Linked DNA regions of Danio rerio. The protein of the gene in region 3 purifies or fractionates together with the protein of the main gene of each other region. This does not show direct contact. Links are inferred from orthologs where the notes say so. Each region holds a gene or a part of one and is shown on either strand. Other genes may lie near its edges. The genes, in order: rpp40, rpp38 and pop4.

What was found.
Region 1: the proteins of pop4 (region 3) and rpp40 purify together in Homo sapiens (affinity purification with mass spectrometry; 3 studies listed by BioGRID and IntAct, counting the BioPlex papers as one, with this or other methods). This does not show direct contact. The link is inferred for Danio rerio from reciprocal best matches to the Homo sapiens genes POP4 and RPP40.
Region 2: the proteins of pop4 (region 3) and rpp38 purify together in Homo sapiens (affinity purification with mass spectrometry; 4 studies listed by BioGRID and IntAct, counting the BioPlex papers as one, with this or other methods). This does not show direct contact. The link is inferred for Danio rerio from reciprocal best matches to the Homo sapiens genes POP4 and RPP38.

The regions. Positions count from the first base shown.
Region 1 is NC_133177.1:26,946,895-26,951,312, reverse strand, and holds the end of rpp40 (ribonuclease P protein subunit p40), read right to left. Parts: intron 3,187-4,418; coding exon 3,052-3,186; intron 2,080-3,051; coding exon 1,881-2,079; 3' UTR 1,789-1,880; downstream 1-1,788. UniProt on the Homo sapiens protein: Component of ribonuclease P, a ribonucleoprotein complex that generates mature tRNA molecules by cleaving their 5'-ends. Also a component of the MRP ribonuclease complex, which cleaves pre-rRNA sequences.
Region 2 is NC_133191.1:31,717,739-31,723,459, forward strand, and holds rpp38 (ribonuclease P protein subunit p38), read right to left. Parts: upstream 3,638-5,721; 5' UTR 3,531-3,637; intron 3,414-3,530; 5' UTR 3,401-3,413; coding exon 2,603-3,400; 3' UTR 1,944-2,602; downstream 1-1,943. Other genes in the region: nmt2 (glycylpeptide N-tetradecanoyltransferase 2), read left to right, coding at 261-281. UniProt on the Homo sapiens protein: Component of ribonuclease P, a ribonucleoprotein complex that generates mature tRNA molecules by cleaving their 5'-ends. Also a component of the MRP ribonuclease complex, which cleaves pre-rRNA sequences.
Region 3 is NC_133182.1:47,667,223-47,672,040, reverse strand, and holds the end of pop4 (ribonuclease P protein subunit p29), read right to left. Parts: intron 2,343-4,818; coding exon 2,206-2,342; 3' UTR 1,881-2,205; downstream 1-1,880. UniProt on the Homo sapiens protein: Component of ribonuclease P, a ribonucleoprotein complex that generates mature tRNA molecules by cleaving their 5'-ends.

The DNA.
Region 1 (4,418 bases), on a different chromosome or scaffold from region 3:
TCAATTGCGGGCTTCAGGCTCTCCTCCCCTCCCTGGCCAATGTGTATGAGGGCACACCTGATTCAGCTCATCAGCTTTTAACAGAGAGATCCATGAAATGATCCTTGTGTGTCAAATGAGAGAGACATACTAAATGTGCAGGTCGGGGGGGCCTAAGGACCGGAATTGAGCTACACTAAGGACAAAAGCACATACTTTTTATGACTGTGTAATAATGATTGTCAAGACAAAAATCAACACTCAAGTAAATGTGGACGAGGCCTTGGCTTAGTAGGAATGAACAGTTATTTGTATCAAAGTTAACTTTTGTACTTTTTCCCTGCTTAATTTTAAACGTTTTTTTTTCAGCTTTGTTAGTTTGTATGTTCATACAAACTGTTTGCTTTTGAGTAACATTATTATACCACCAAATAATTTTGATGTACATGTTTGTTGACAAATATTTCTAATTTAATAACTTATGAAATTGAAGGAGGAAGTTCCTCATGAGTCAATAAAGGATGCTGGCATTTTAAATCTGCATCCTTACGTTGTTATTTTTCTTCTTCTGGTTCAAACTGACTGGACTGCTGTATTATCAGAAAGAGCCCTGGAGGTTAAACGACCATCTCTAAGGGAAGATCAACTAAAATCTTCCACAAACGCCTGTAGTTACTAGCTAGTGTGCACTGTTAGTCAGTGGAATACAATGTTTTAGAATGTGAGGGAATGGAGTAGGTTTAGGAAAATGGCTTACACAAAACTATTGAACGTGACAAATTCCTGCAGGAATATTAAAGCCCTACCTCTCAACATTATTTTCAGCTATGAAGTGTGTGGTTTGAACCCCATCCCTTTTTAAAATCGCTCTGGTGCAGATACACTATTGCTCTGTCCTGTTCCAAAATAACTGCTCTAAATAATCTACAGAAACTCAAAATTGAAGTCAGTAATCAGTCCCAGCAGTGTAAATGATATATGTTATTAATTCTGTTCAGTATTTATTGACTATAGATTGAATTTGCTGTAGTAGTTTCTATAACACGGAATAACAGGTGGTCGTGTGTGTTTTTTCCCTCTTTCCAAATGGTTTTGTAAAATGACTTTTTGTTTTGTTTATGGAATGATATTTATGATTGTGCAAATAGATTTGTTTTCATTTGTATTTCTTTGAATGCTTCAGTTGTTTTAAAAGACATTTTTTTGCAAAACAATGTGACAGGTCATGTTTGATTATGAAGTGGATTGCGACATTAATGATGTCTTCTCTGTTTTAACTTGTGTGTATAATGTAAACTCTGCTTCGCTGGCTTATAACTGATGTCAGTGAAGCTGGTTTGATCTGTGAGGATTAACCTAGACTGTCTGTTAACAACCCAGAAAAAAAGTTCCAATTTACTCAAGCTTTGCAATAATATCTTAAATTCGTTAAACATTTTTGGTGTGTGTGTGTGTGTGTGCGCGCGAGCTCGGCCCTCTCTCTTTCTCTTATGGATGTCTTGGCATATTTGCATTGTGTAGTGTAATGTTAAACATGGCTATATCAGAGGAAATATTGCTTTATTCCAGTCACTTCACTGACAAATAAAAACAAAAAAAGTCTCATTATGGTTTTCTGACTTTCAGCATAGCTGTACACGTCATCTGCCTTTAATTTCAAACGCTGGTCAAAACTAGATTTTGTTATAAATATAAGGGCAATGCGTATTTCCTATAGTTGATATGTTAAATGTTATAAATTGTACAATCTGTAAATTTTTTTAGGTTTCTGAACATGTAACAGCTGTGAAAATGACTGGTCTAAATAAATTGATATACTATTTTATTTTACTTTGGTCCTCTTAAATGAATTTTAATAAAATAACTTTTATATTGTACAATTGAACACAAAGCCCATCGTTTCAAGGTGGACAGGCATCTTGAGCACCGGTGGCCATGTGTAGCCAGTAGTCCTGATTCTTGAAACAAACAAAATTGTAGAAGTTTTCACCACCTTTGAGGAAGCCGTGCTCTGAGGTTCCCCACGACACAGGACTGTCCATAAACCCATGCACTGTGAGGGAAAGCCATGGTGTGAACTTCGGTTCATCGAAATACTTCCTGAAAGACACGTTAGAGAAATAGACAACTTGTAAGTTTCAGATGTCCTCCTCGCTTTTTACAGCACAAGCATCCTCTTGAGAAAATAACTTAAGCATATGTGTACTTATACATATTTCACCACAAACTGAATGTGAATGTATTAATTTATATTAATATTGCATGAAATGTAACACTTTAAATCTGCTATTTTATAATATGCTGTTATCATACAGACTGTATCATTACTTCTAAAACACAAGTCGCAGTTTAAGAATTATTATTATTATTTTAAAGATGCCTCCACCATTTTTCCATCAAATAAAACAGTTGTCATTCCAATTCGCTACTGTAAACAAACTGAGTTCTTCTGATTGGTACACTGAGCCTGGTAAGGGCTTGAATGGGAAACCACTTGGGAAAACTAGGTTTCTGTTGGAAGTGGTGATAGTGAGGCCAGCAGGAGGTGCTCATCCTGCGGTCTGTGTGGGTCCTTATGTCCCAGTATAGTGAAGGGCATATTCACAGCAGTGTACTAGAAGCATAAACATTTTTCTGTTGCATTTTTAAAATGTCTTGCATACAATAGCAACCAAAATATGCTGTTATGCACATCAGGCATGCAGTGGGTGATGATTTCACTCTGTAAACCAGGGGTGCCCAAACTCATTCCGGGAGGGCCAGTGTCCTGCATAGTTTGGTGTCAACCCCAATTAAACACACCTTTTCTAGGTATACTTGAAATTTCCAGGCAGGTATGTTCAAGCTAAACTATGCAGGACACCGGCCCTCCTGGACCAAGTTTGGGCACCCCAAGTTTGGTTTACACCCCTGCTGTAAACAATATGCTTTCGCCACTTCGCCACTTTGGAAGAGAGAAAAAAAAACCTTTAGAACCCACTTAAAATAAAAAAGTTAGCATTTTCAGGCCTTCAAAACACTGGTTGTGTAAATAAAAGGCTGGTTGTGATACAGAAGTGATGGTGTGCTTACCTGAGCTCCTGCAGCAGCACAAACACATTCTCAGGTGAGATGAAGCCAGTGACGCTGCACACCACAGCCTGACTGATGGAGCTCTGAGGCTCGGGACACACATATGTAGACAGGAAACTGTCAGCTGCATTTTCACTGAAAACACATAAAATTCACTTAAGAGATGCACAGACACACTACGAAATGGCAGTTTGTGAAATACCATGTTTCCAAATCACATATTTTTGTGCACATCAAAACGCACTGGATAAAATCTTCATATATAAATCTTCACAATATATTGTGATATGACAACAATTTCACCCAAATCATTTGGAAATATATCGTTATGAACTGTTCATTACACTACAAACTAAAATGTAACTGGAATAAAGATTACTAACAGCATTCAGGTGCAGAAATTAAATAAATGAAACTGGAGAGTCTTCACCGTATAAAGCGGCTTTATCTTTTTTACAGCTACAAATGTTCTCTTTTCATGTGCTTGAATACTTTACGCTGACTCGGTATGCGAACAGTAAGAAAAGGTTTCCACAGGTCAGGGAATTTTAAAAAATGTCTATTCCAGACATTGAAAATCAGTGAATGCGAGCAGGGGGGCTTGAGCAGCTTGCAATTCTCTTTTCCTATGGATTTATACATTAAGACACCATTAAGGTCAAAATTATTAGGCCCTTTAAGCTTTTTTTTTTTTTTTGATAGTCTACAGAACAAACAACCGCTACACAATAACTTGCCTAATTACCCTAACCTGCCTAGTTAACCTAATTGACCTAGTTAAGCCTTTAAATGTCACTTTAAGCTGTATAGAAGTGTCTTGAAAAATATCTAGTCAAATATTTTTTACTGTCATCATGGCAAAGATAAAACAAATCCGGTATTAAAAAAATAAATAGTTATTAAAACTAATGTTTAGAAATGTGGTGAAAAAAATCTTCTCTCCGTTAAACAGAAATTGGGAAAAAAAATAAACATGGCTCATAATTCAGGGGGGCTAATCATTCTGACTTTAACTATATTTATATATATATATATATATATATATATATATATATATATAGTTATATAACCAGGCCCGGATTGGCTAATCGGGAGGACTGGGAGAATTCCCGGTGGGCCGGTCAGTTTGTTGGCTGCGAGGGCCGGTGTTCCTAGCTCCAGAATCTGTTGCTATCAGCAGTCACACTTTTTAAAAATAATTTATTTATTTACTTGACCACAGCCTTCTTATTCATTATTTTACCGCAGCTCTGCTCTTTTAATCTTTTTATCTTTTTAGCCTGCAGGTTAATGTTGATATACCTAGATAAGTCACCATTCAGTGTACAGCTGTTGTGGTACAGTGGTTAATACCACCAACCCGGGTT
Region 2 (5,721 bases), on a different chromosome or scaffold from region 3:
GTTTCTAAAATACTTAGACCAGCCCTTTCTTCCCTATTCTGATGCTCAGTTTAAACTGCAGCAGATCGTCTTGACCATGTCTATATGCCTAAATGCATCAAGTTGCTGCCATGTGATTGGCTCATAAGAAATTTGCGTTACAAGAGCAATTGGACAGGTGTACCTAATAAAGTGGCCAGTGAGTAGGTTATGCCATACAAATGCCATACAAAATCAGTATCATAGGAGTGTGTTTTAACTCTCTTCTCCATGCTCCGCAGGTTGGCCTTGTTTTACAGTAACTGGCTGCTGCTTGTTGGATGCCGACTGATTTCAGAGGTCCACCTTGAATTCTCAGACTTGGACGTAATCGATATAAAGAGGAAAAACTGACATCCATTCAAAGTGAATGAGTTCTGTTGTGCAGCTCTCTTAGGTCTTGTTCCAGTTCCTGAGGGCTTTCCCTCCTTTCTCTTTGTCTTTGACTCTCTTTCTGAGAATGTGAGAAACATTTATCAAGGTCAAACACATCTACAAGCTGCACATACATACACACACATGCAGATACACACACATACACAACCGTAGTGTTTATTTTCCTCAACATGCAATCTGTCTCCTCTCTCAGAACATGTTTATTCCCATGGTTTTTGTCTTTTTGTTCATTTGTTTTGTACTATGAAGGAGTGTTGATACATTTGTGTGAATTAGCAAGCTGTACATTTAATGCCAGATATTTATTACGTATTGTGAGGTTTACAACGGAACAGGAACATGGGTCGAAATCCAAAGTCTTTTGTATGGAGCTGCCTTTGAATTCATACAGCATTCTGAGTTTCTGTCTGTTTGCGGAGCGAGTAAATGGTTACACGTGTGGAGGAATGTATTGCGTTTTGAAGCACAACATCAACTTGTTTATAAAAGGGCCGGACTGCTCTGAGGTGCATTTGTAAGAATATGATGTTTTGTTTTAGGGTTTGTGTGTCCAAAAGAAACATTTCGAATTTTGAATGTGAATTCATTTCCATTTCTTTTTTCATGAAGGCATGATTGTTAGCTTCTTTTCCCCCACTCGTTTCTGTTCTTTACCATCTAGTGTTTCTAAATCATCATTTTAGCTAAACAATTCTGATATTTAGAATTGTGCTTAAGTTACTTGTTACATTTTATTCTCCACTTTCTTTGCTCTCTCAGTATTTGCAGTGAACCATAACCTCATTTGACTGGTGCGTTTTCTCGATCAGGTCCTGATCGTTTTGCTATTTTTAAGCACAAGAAGAGCTGAACAATCATATGTGCGTTTTCATTTTGATATAAGCGTTTCTCCTAATGCTTTTGGTGATGCGGTCAGGAAAGCTTGCTTGCTGTTTCAGTTACAATCACTGATGAAGCTTAATGAACGTTAATGTGAACGTTATTCTTCAGCAGAAGCTGGTTTTGCTTTCATGGTTTGCTTTAATGTTTCTGAATCTACAATTTGCTTTTAAATAAGCGCACGTCCAGTCAGGCTTCAAAAGAAAGGTACTCCTCTCAAAGTCGCACATTTCAGTCAGTGGTTTCGTTCAATAACGTCATCAAGGGCACTTTTTTGCGAATGTCAGTTTGCATATGTTTTTTCTAAGGCTTGCTGAATGAACTGAGCATGAATCCTTTTCCCCCCTCGAGCTGTATGGTTTTTTGAATTTATGGGTTATGGTGAGAACACCTAAAGTACTTGCCTTATTTCAGAGAGGTTGTTTTTTTTTAAACGTTTAACTTGTGTAGTTTTAAACGATCAGCTTTCTCTTTCTGAAGACAGTATTTTTATTGAACTCCATTGCAGGATGGAACTGATGGGAACAAGTACCAGCACCATGTCAAACAAGACAGTCCACCCGAATATCTAATTGTCAAAAATAATATACATCAAGGTATACCAGCATGGATATTTGACTGAATAAAAGCATCCAAAATGTAAAACGCTACTCAGTTGGGGCTTTTTATTTTTCATAACCATCACATATACTTAATAAAAATGTGTGTCCAAGCCAAGTATTTAGTAGCCTAAGCAAATATTGAAGTTAAGAAAAAGGCCTTTCTTTTTTTTTTTTTTTTTTGAGATTCTGAAGAATTATCTTAACAAGGGTGTCAAAACTCGGTCCTGGAGGGTTGGTGTCCTGCATACTTCATTTCCAACCCCAGTTAAACATACCTGAACCAGCTTATCAAGTGGTTTAGGTATACTAGAAACTTTCAGGCAGGTGTGTGGAAGTTGGGAGCTAAACTATGCGGGACACCAGCCCAGAGTTTGGACAGCCCTGTCTTAAAAAATGAAAGAAGTTTAATGTTAAGTGAACCTATAATGGTTCACTCAACATTAACATTAAACTTCTTTCCCCCTTCAGTGGTTTATGAATTTAACGACTCTGGTGGTAAGAATACCCAAAGTATCTGCCAAATTTCAAAAAAGGTGTCTTTACAAATGCCAAAATTGTGTAGTTTTAAATGATCAGCTTTCTTAAAGACCATCAAATATGACAGTCCACCAATCACAATGTAAAATACACTCACAAAATCATCACAAACTATTGAAAATATAAATATAATAAACGTGTTTACACATTCTTCATTCATAGAATGCAGGTTAAACAACTTTTTTCTGTTTTTTCAGTTTGGGTTTCCTAATTTTCGTTGGATTCGGAATGATTTTCTTTACTTTTAGAGGCTGGAGAACCAAAGGAGATGCATCACTCGACAGCTCTTCTAGTTTCCTCTTCTGTCCGATTTCTGTGCGCTTTTCTTTGGTTGTTGGTGTTGAGTCTGTCTGAATCCACGCCACGGGGAGCTGTGGGACCATCGGTGTGATGGCGCGGACCGTATTCTCGAACTCCTCGGACCCGCGTCTGAAGCCCAGTGCCAGGACGCACTTGAGGCCGAGCAGCTCCGACAGGCTTCCACTCAAACCGGGTACCTGGCAGGCGGGCACCGACCTGGTTTTACTCAGCGGGATTAAATGGCTCGTCATGTGAGCTGGGGTGACCGAGTTACACACGAGCACCAAACTCAGCTCGTTCCTTTCTAGGCCCTTGGTGACCTCGTTGATGCCGATGGCGAGCTGTTTCCTCAGGGCCAGATTGGTCCAGCCCGGCTCGGGGGTTTGCACGCTCTCTGCGGGTTCAGAAGCTGGGTTTTGCTCTTCGGTGGGTTTTGATGCCTTTTTTCTGGACCTCCTTCTGCTTCCCCAATCGCGAAACCGGCTGACACGCTCTTTCCGAAGCCCGGTGGCGGATAATTTTTCTTTCAGAGTGTCAAGTATTAAATGTTTGTGTTGTTTTTGTAAGAGGTCACTCCAGCCAATGTTGTACGGGTTATTCAGGGATGTTTTGACTGGTATCGGCTTCTTTTTTTCTTTCTTCGTTGCTCCTTTCGCTGGGGTCGACATTATTGCTGGAAAGCTTGAAATGTTCAAAAACTAGCATTACAAATCACGTTAAACTCAACGAGGCATGTAGCCTATAAACAACTTAGTATTCATAACAACCAAGAAGACACAGCAAAAATGATATACAAACCTAATTAACTAGCCAGAAATGAAGATTTCCTCAGCTCAACATCTACAGCGTGTACTAAGTTGTGTGTGCAGACATGTTGTTATTGAAGGTCTTCTTCTGTGGTTAATAGTTCAGGGTTTGTAATGCACACACTGCCATCTAGTGAATGTTTCCGAAAGAGCTTTTCGGTTGTAATTTGTCATAAACGTAAACAGTCAGGCCAGACCATTTATAAATCTTATAAACACCTTGATTTTTTTGGCCAAATTTCATATTTATAAGAGCAAGTTTTGTAAGTGTAAACCTTTTTTTCCTAAATTCAAAATTGAAATGAAAATGTATTTTGAGTGTATTGCGGGATCAACAAACTTAAAAGCAATACGAACAGACTTTGATGAAGGACTTTTAACTTATCTTGGACTAAATGACTGAAAACCCCTGGATTGTTGTTGTTTTATTGATGACATTTGTTGTTAATGTTTTTCAAGCCTTCAATTTAAAAATCGTATAAACGTAACAGCTCATAGATAGCATGAAATCAGTGACTAATAATAATATTAGTGAGGATTAATAAATATTAATATTGATAGTGATTGCTTTGTTTTAAACTGATGAGCACTTAATTAAGAGATAAATGTATTGTTTGGACTAAATTGAAAATAATAAGCTAGTAAAAAAAGGCAGTAAAGAGTATATGATCTGTATACCTTTTTATCATTATGAGTCAAAGGCAAGATGTTTCATTTTGGTATCTGCATCATTTAGTTTGCAAAAAAAAAAATGCAAATAAAGTGACTACATGGTAATGCTACGAAACAACTTTGAAAATAAATGTTGAAATGTAGTTTAATTTTCTGTTGTAATCTAGGATAATGTTTATAACTATGAAAAATTAAACAGCATTATTCTAGTCTGTTAAAACAAATAATATCATATTTTATTGAAGATTACATGTTTTTATTCCTTTATGGAATTTCGTTTTTCCTTTTTAGAGGTTTGAAGGATTATGGGTAAATCTAGACATTTAAAAATGCACTTAATGATCCACAATTAGCCACAATCAGACTTTAATGTCATCATATAATTGTAACAATATTTGTTTTATTACATATATATATATATATATATATATATATATATATATATATATATATATATATATATATATATATATATATATATATATATATATATATATATATATATAAAACTATTGTTAGACTTAAAATGTCATTGAATAATTGTGACAAGATTTGTTTTTACAGGAGGTTACACCATCTGAATGACATTTTAGTATCTCCTCTAAACCTAAATAATAAGGTCATAAAGCAAAGAATATATGATCTCTCTTTTTATGATTATGGGTCAAAGGCAGGACATCCCATTTTGATATCAGCATCATATTAAATTCACAAAACAGAATGCAAATAAAGTTTTAAAATCAACTTGTTTTAAAATCAATGTTGAAATACGGGAAAATGTTCTATTCTCATTTGGGATAATGGATATTATTATGAAAAATGAAACAGCATACTTACTCTGGACTGTAATTATATAAAAGAATGAGTGATCATAAAATTATTTTTAAAAATGTAAGATTACAATTTTGCTATTCCTCTATTTCCAAGAGGTTTGAAGAATAATAGTAAATATAACCATTTAAAAATCAAATGAATTGTAATTGATAAGACAATTAATGTCATAAAATAATTGTAACAACATTTTTTTATAATAAATAGACTGTCTGAATAACATTTTAGTGTCTCCTGTAAATCATGGTAAAAATAATGAGCCGTTGTTTTTTTCTAGGGATTTTTTTAACAGCATTGGTGTATATTTGAGTTTTTTAAATTGTATTTTTTTTTATCTAAAATTGAAGTATTTAATTCAGAAACAAATGTTCTAATTGGAAAATTATAACTTCATAAAGTAATGCATGATCTACCTTTTATGATTATGAGTCATAGGCAATACAAATAAAGTGACTGTTTTGTAAATCATGCCACAAAAACGTGAAAATAAATGTTGAGTGTAATTTTTTTCTATACTGTTCCTAAATATATACATATAGTGATCATATTAAATGAATAAGTGATCATATTAAATGTTATTATATTTTAATTTATTTGAAATTAGACTTTCAAAATTATTTTATACCTAGAGAGGTAAAATATAAAAATATATAGCTATAAAAATGAAACAGTCAATATTA
Region 3 (4,818 bases):
CTATAGTATTTGTTTTTCTTGTAATAAGTATCAATAGTTATTAGTTTTCTAAAATTCATGGATCTAACTTTGTGCTCAATAACGACAAGGAAAAGCAGATAAGTCAAACTGGTTTGGAACAATTCAGTGGCGAGTAAACGATGACCGTTTTCACTTTTGGGTGAACTATATCTTTAAATCTTTAAGATAGTCCTTCTAGAATGACATTACATGCAGCTTTCTAAACAAGGACAACCTAGATTGCATTACAATAAGTATTATGCGGTGCTTACCAATGTTGCTTGAAACTGGAAAGTTCAACCAATAGAAACTGAACCTCAAATAATGGATGGATATAGTGAGTAGGAACAATAGGTAAAGTGTGGATGGATGTTTGCTCCTAATATCAACACAATGGAGGCACTTTTGGTACTTTTTAGTGAGAGATGACAGAAAGAGAAGCATATTGTGTGGAGTGTTTTTATTATTGTTAATGAAAACATTGCAAAGTTGAACTTTTATGCACTTTAAAATGTATATCTGTTTAAAGTAAAGACATAGAAGTGTTGTGGGAGGAATTGCTTCTCGTTATATTTTTGTTTCTGATTGAGAACCTCAGTCTGGAAAAATGTCTACATTTATTTATTAAGCAGATGACTTTATCCAAATAAAGGAGATAATATTTCGCAAGATTGCCATTTAAACATTATTCAAGCTACATTTTTAAAATGTTTAAAAGTTAATTTTTCCAACAATAAGTTTGTGCAAATTTCAGGTTCGACATTCAGTTCATTATAGTACTTTTTTTTTTTTTTAATCTGTCTTTGGATTTAACATTTACAGTGCTCAGCATATACAAGTACAACGCTTACAAATGTCTTATTTAAATTAATATTTACAATAGGAAGCTTTAAAATAATAATAATGTATTTGTGCATGCTTATACATTAGTCAGTACTGAAGCATATATATATATATATATATATATATATATATATATATATATATATATATATATATATATATATACACATATATATATAGGCATTTAAAATGAGCAAAATTCAAGAAAAACTTAAATTTTAAAAATGTTGTAGTTTGTAATATTGTTTTCCAACATTTTGCATGAATCTTTAAAAATATCTTTAAATTTCTAAATGTGTTTGATTACTAAAATATTATTTAAATAAATATATCCATTTAATAAATTAGTCAAATGCACCAAAATATGACCTACATTTACTGACAAATTAATAAAAATATTAATTAGCAAAATGGGGTGTACTCATTTATGCTGAGCACTGTACATTGCTAATTACAGATGCTTTAAGAACATGAATCATAAGTGCTCATAAAAACAAATGTGTTCCGATTTAGCATATTGATGATGCACAATTATGATGCAACCACTCATAAATCATGACACACTGCTCAAACCTTAAGAGACGCATGTAAATTCTAGTGTATGCTTTCAAGGTAGAGTATTAGTGATCGTCTGCATTAATGTACCCTGTATTGCATCACTAATAAATTCTTGCAAGTTTTATTGCCAGTTTGACTAACTTAACTAAAAACACTGACAGTTCTTGCATTTACCATTTGACCCAGAACAGAAGTGTATAAGACCTGTGTTCAGTCAACAGGACGCATTACTTTTACATGTTTGAGCCACTATTGCACTGTATGCAGGATTTTACTTCTATCAAATAAAAAATAAAAAAATAAAATTGATTGGGTGTACCAGCTATCACCATCACCTTTCCCCAAAACTAAACTCTATAAACACAGCTTCTAAATGTACTTTGGTAATTAAATATACACAATAAACAGATGTAAAGTGAGGATGTACTGTCATAAAGACATTAAAAGGAAGCTTTAAACATGCTCTTAAAGACAAAGTATTGCTTTGTATTGTATTTCTTTATTTAAAGTATTTACAGTCCTGCCTTTGTTTTAGTTAAATAAATGAGCTCATAAATATAAAAAAAATGAATTGGCTGAATTTCCTTGTTCCTGCTCTACAAAAAAGAAAATAAAAAAAATGGGTGGGGTGAATGTCTCCCCCTTGTGGACATTAAAGGAATCTAGTTTTACAGATATAAGCGATGGAAATAAAATCTTTCCTTAGATTAAAAACAAAATAAATGACATGATTAATGAATACTGACTGGATCTTGGGCTCCAGTAGAAGACACTAGTTAAAGATGACAATGTGAATGTGGTCCGTTACAAGTCAATAGTCCCTTTGACTTTGAATTTCTTGGCTGATCGCTCACTGGAGCGCAGTTCAAACTTGCTGCCATAGATGTGAGAAACGAAACCTCCAACCTCCACACTGAACACACTGTTCCTCTTTGGTATAACTGGAAAAGGAGCAAGAGTGGGGAAAAAGTTAATCTACAAGACGCATTCATTTGGTAAAAAGAGGTTGTGAAAGGTGCCTAATGACTGGGAGTAGACTGAGGAAGATGATTATTTTTTTTTTTAGTCTGGACTATATCTGATCACAGAGGGAATGTTTTTCCATCATTCAAAATACAGTAACATTCATAAACAATCAAATATTTGATGTAAATAACAAAAATGGCAAATAAATATCATAAAATATGATGAAAGTAGTGGTCTCCTGGAGTTTTGTCACTTGTGTTAACAAAAAAGTTGATTACTTTAAAATTATACTGTCAGATTTTAGGGCCAAAAAAACCAAATATATCACTGTGATATCTATAAAGAAAACAAGCTATATATAATGCAATCGATCAAATTCATATAAATAACATGTTACTGGGGATGAGTTATATTATAGAAAACATAGTATAAGTATTTAATTTTGGAAATATTGTGGTTGACATCAAATATTGGTGCACCACAACAGGCCTAGTATGAAGTTTGACCAATAGACCTTTTTCCCATTTCCAGGTTTCTCAGTAGCAGAAGACTTCATAGTTGGGTAAACTTAAAAGCGCAGTGAATAGGAGAGTAAAACACATATATTTTTTTTACATTCCTATTAGCTGAAATAAGAGAAACACTCCTTGGTGGTGTTGTCAAGACTTTCAGAAAGAAAAAAATAGTGTGAGACTGATGACGGCTGCCAGATGAGAGAATAACGTCAAATTTACTCTCAGCTCCATAGATGCTGCATTAGAAACACCTCACGTAAGAGGCAATTCATTTTTTGTAATTTGATGCAAAGATGTTATAATACATTCATAAATACATTACATGTTCAAACTTTCAAGGATTTAAGATTATGATGACCGTTAAACACCTCATAAAAGGCTTGTGAAAAGAGTCCATTAAAATTTTTATTTTATTTAAATAATTAAATTTTAATAATGTTATGTTGAGGACTACCCAAGCGGCAATCTCCCGCTCTCCCTCGGGAAGCCAATACGGAAGTAACTGAAGCTGCAATTTATTGAAATTCCGCATTGCTCCATTTGGAGCAAATTTCAATTTAGCCCACTATTAGAATGGCCAACTTTACAGCAGAAAAAAAGGGTGTTTAAAGAACAACTTTGGTTCATATAGCTATGACTACCCTTCATGACAACTGTGAAGGTGCTGAATTTATATATAACTCATGCGTTTCGTTTATATTAGGTTATATTAAGTCTGCATAATTAAGGCGTGGCCACTTGAGTGACAGCTAGGTCTCGCTGGTCACCGTCACTTCACCTCAGCTGACTCCGGCAGATTAGGTGCTGAACTCGGGATATACATCGTATTTTTGTTTTATGTGGCTTTACACAGTCAATTGCTTTTTGGAATTATTTCTTACAATTGTCAGGTGATATTGCATGCTGTCTTCACTTTATTGTGCTCACAAACCATTCACGTGGGTGAAATTCTATACTTATACCAACTCTATAAATGCATTGGTCTTATTTGAGATTATTTATCATTTATAAATGTTCTTTAGACCTGTAAAGCACTCCAGAATCTGACAGATTGATTAGCTGAAGGCTCTAGAACAGTCATCTGAAATATTGTCATACAAAAGCATATAATTTGCTTTTTTCTCCTGTAGAAAAACGTCACAAGAACGATGCTTAGTGGCTCAATGTGGTACAACAGTGTTTTTAAAAGTCTAAACACTTTATGGATATAGTGTACAACCAAGCACATGTGGTCAGAAGACAAACGAGTCACAGGTAATGAAGTATCAAGTGTTCTCGCAAAGTAAAGTCTGTCTAAGCAAGGTCCAAGCTAAATGCCAGCAGGTGTCTTTAGCTCCATTCACTCTCATCCTCTTTGCCCTTGTTTGGTATCCCGCCGTGAGTGCGAAGACGCGCCTACTTGTAGCTTCTTTTGCAATGTTCAGAAACCTATGGATGACGTCACGGATACTACGTCCATATATTTTACAGTCTATGGGACTACCACAACTGAAAGTCAAAGGATTTTTAAAACTTAAATTTATCATTTAATAAGTCATTTTACATATCACTTTTCTCACTTATAAAATAGACTATTAGCAACACTGTCATCTGGTATCCATTATATTAACAGAAATATTACTAGTAAAAAAACATTTATTCCAGGATTTTAAGAAAACCGCCTAAAAGCAGAAAGATGTGTTTTGTAGCGAAAGGCTGAAAAACACAATGTTCTCTTAACTAGAATGTTGTTGGGCGTAATATTATGACACATCTAAAGTGGATTGTCATATTTGTTTTTTATTTTTAATCTAAATGACTTAATTTATTTTTGTTGATCAATGGCATGGTTTTGTTTGCTGATTTTTATCTAGCAAGATCTAGCAACAAATGAAAGCTTTTCCACAGTGCTTATCTTGCACTGAACATAAGAAGACATCCATGAAATAGGTTTAAA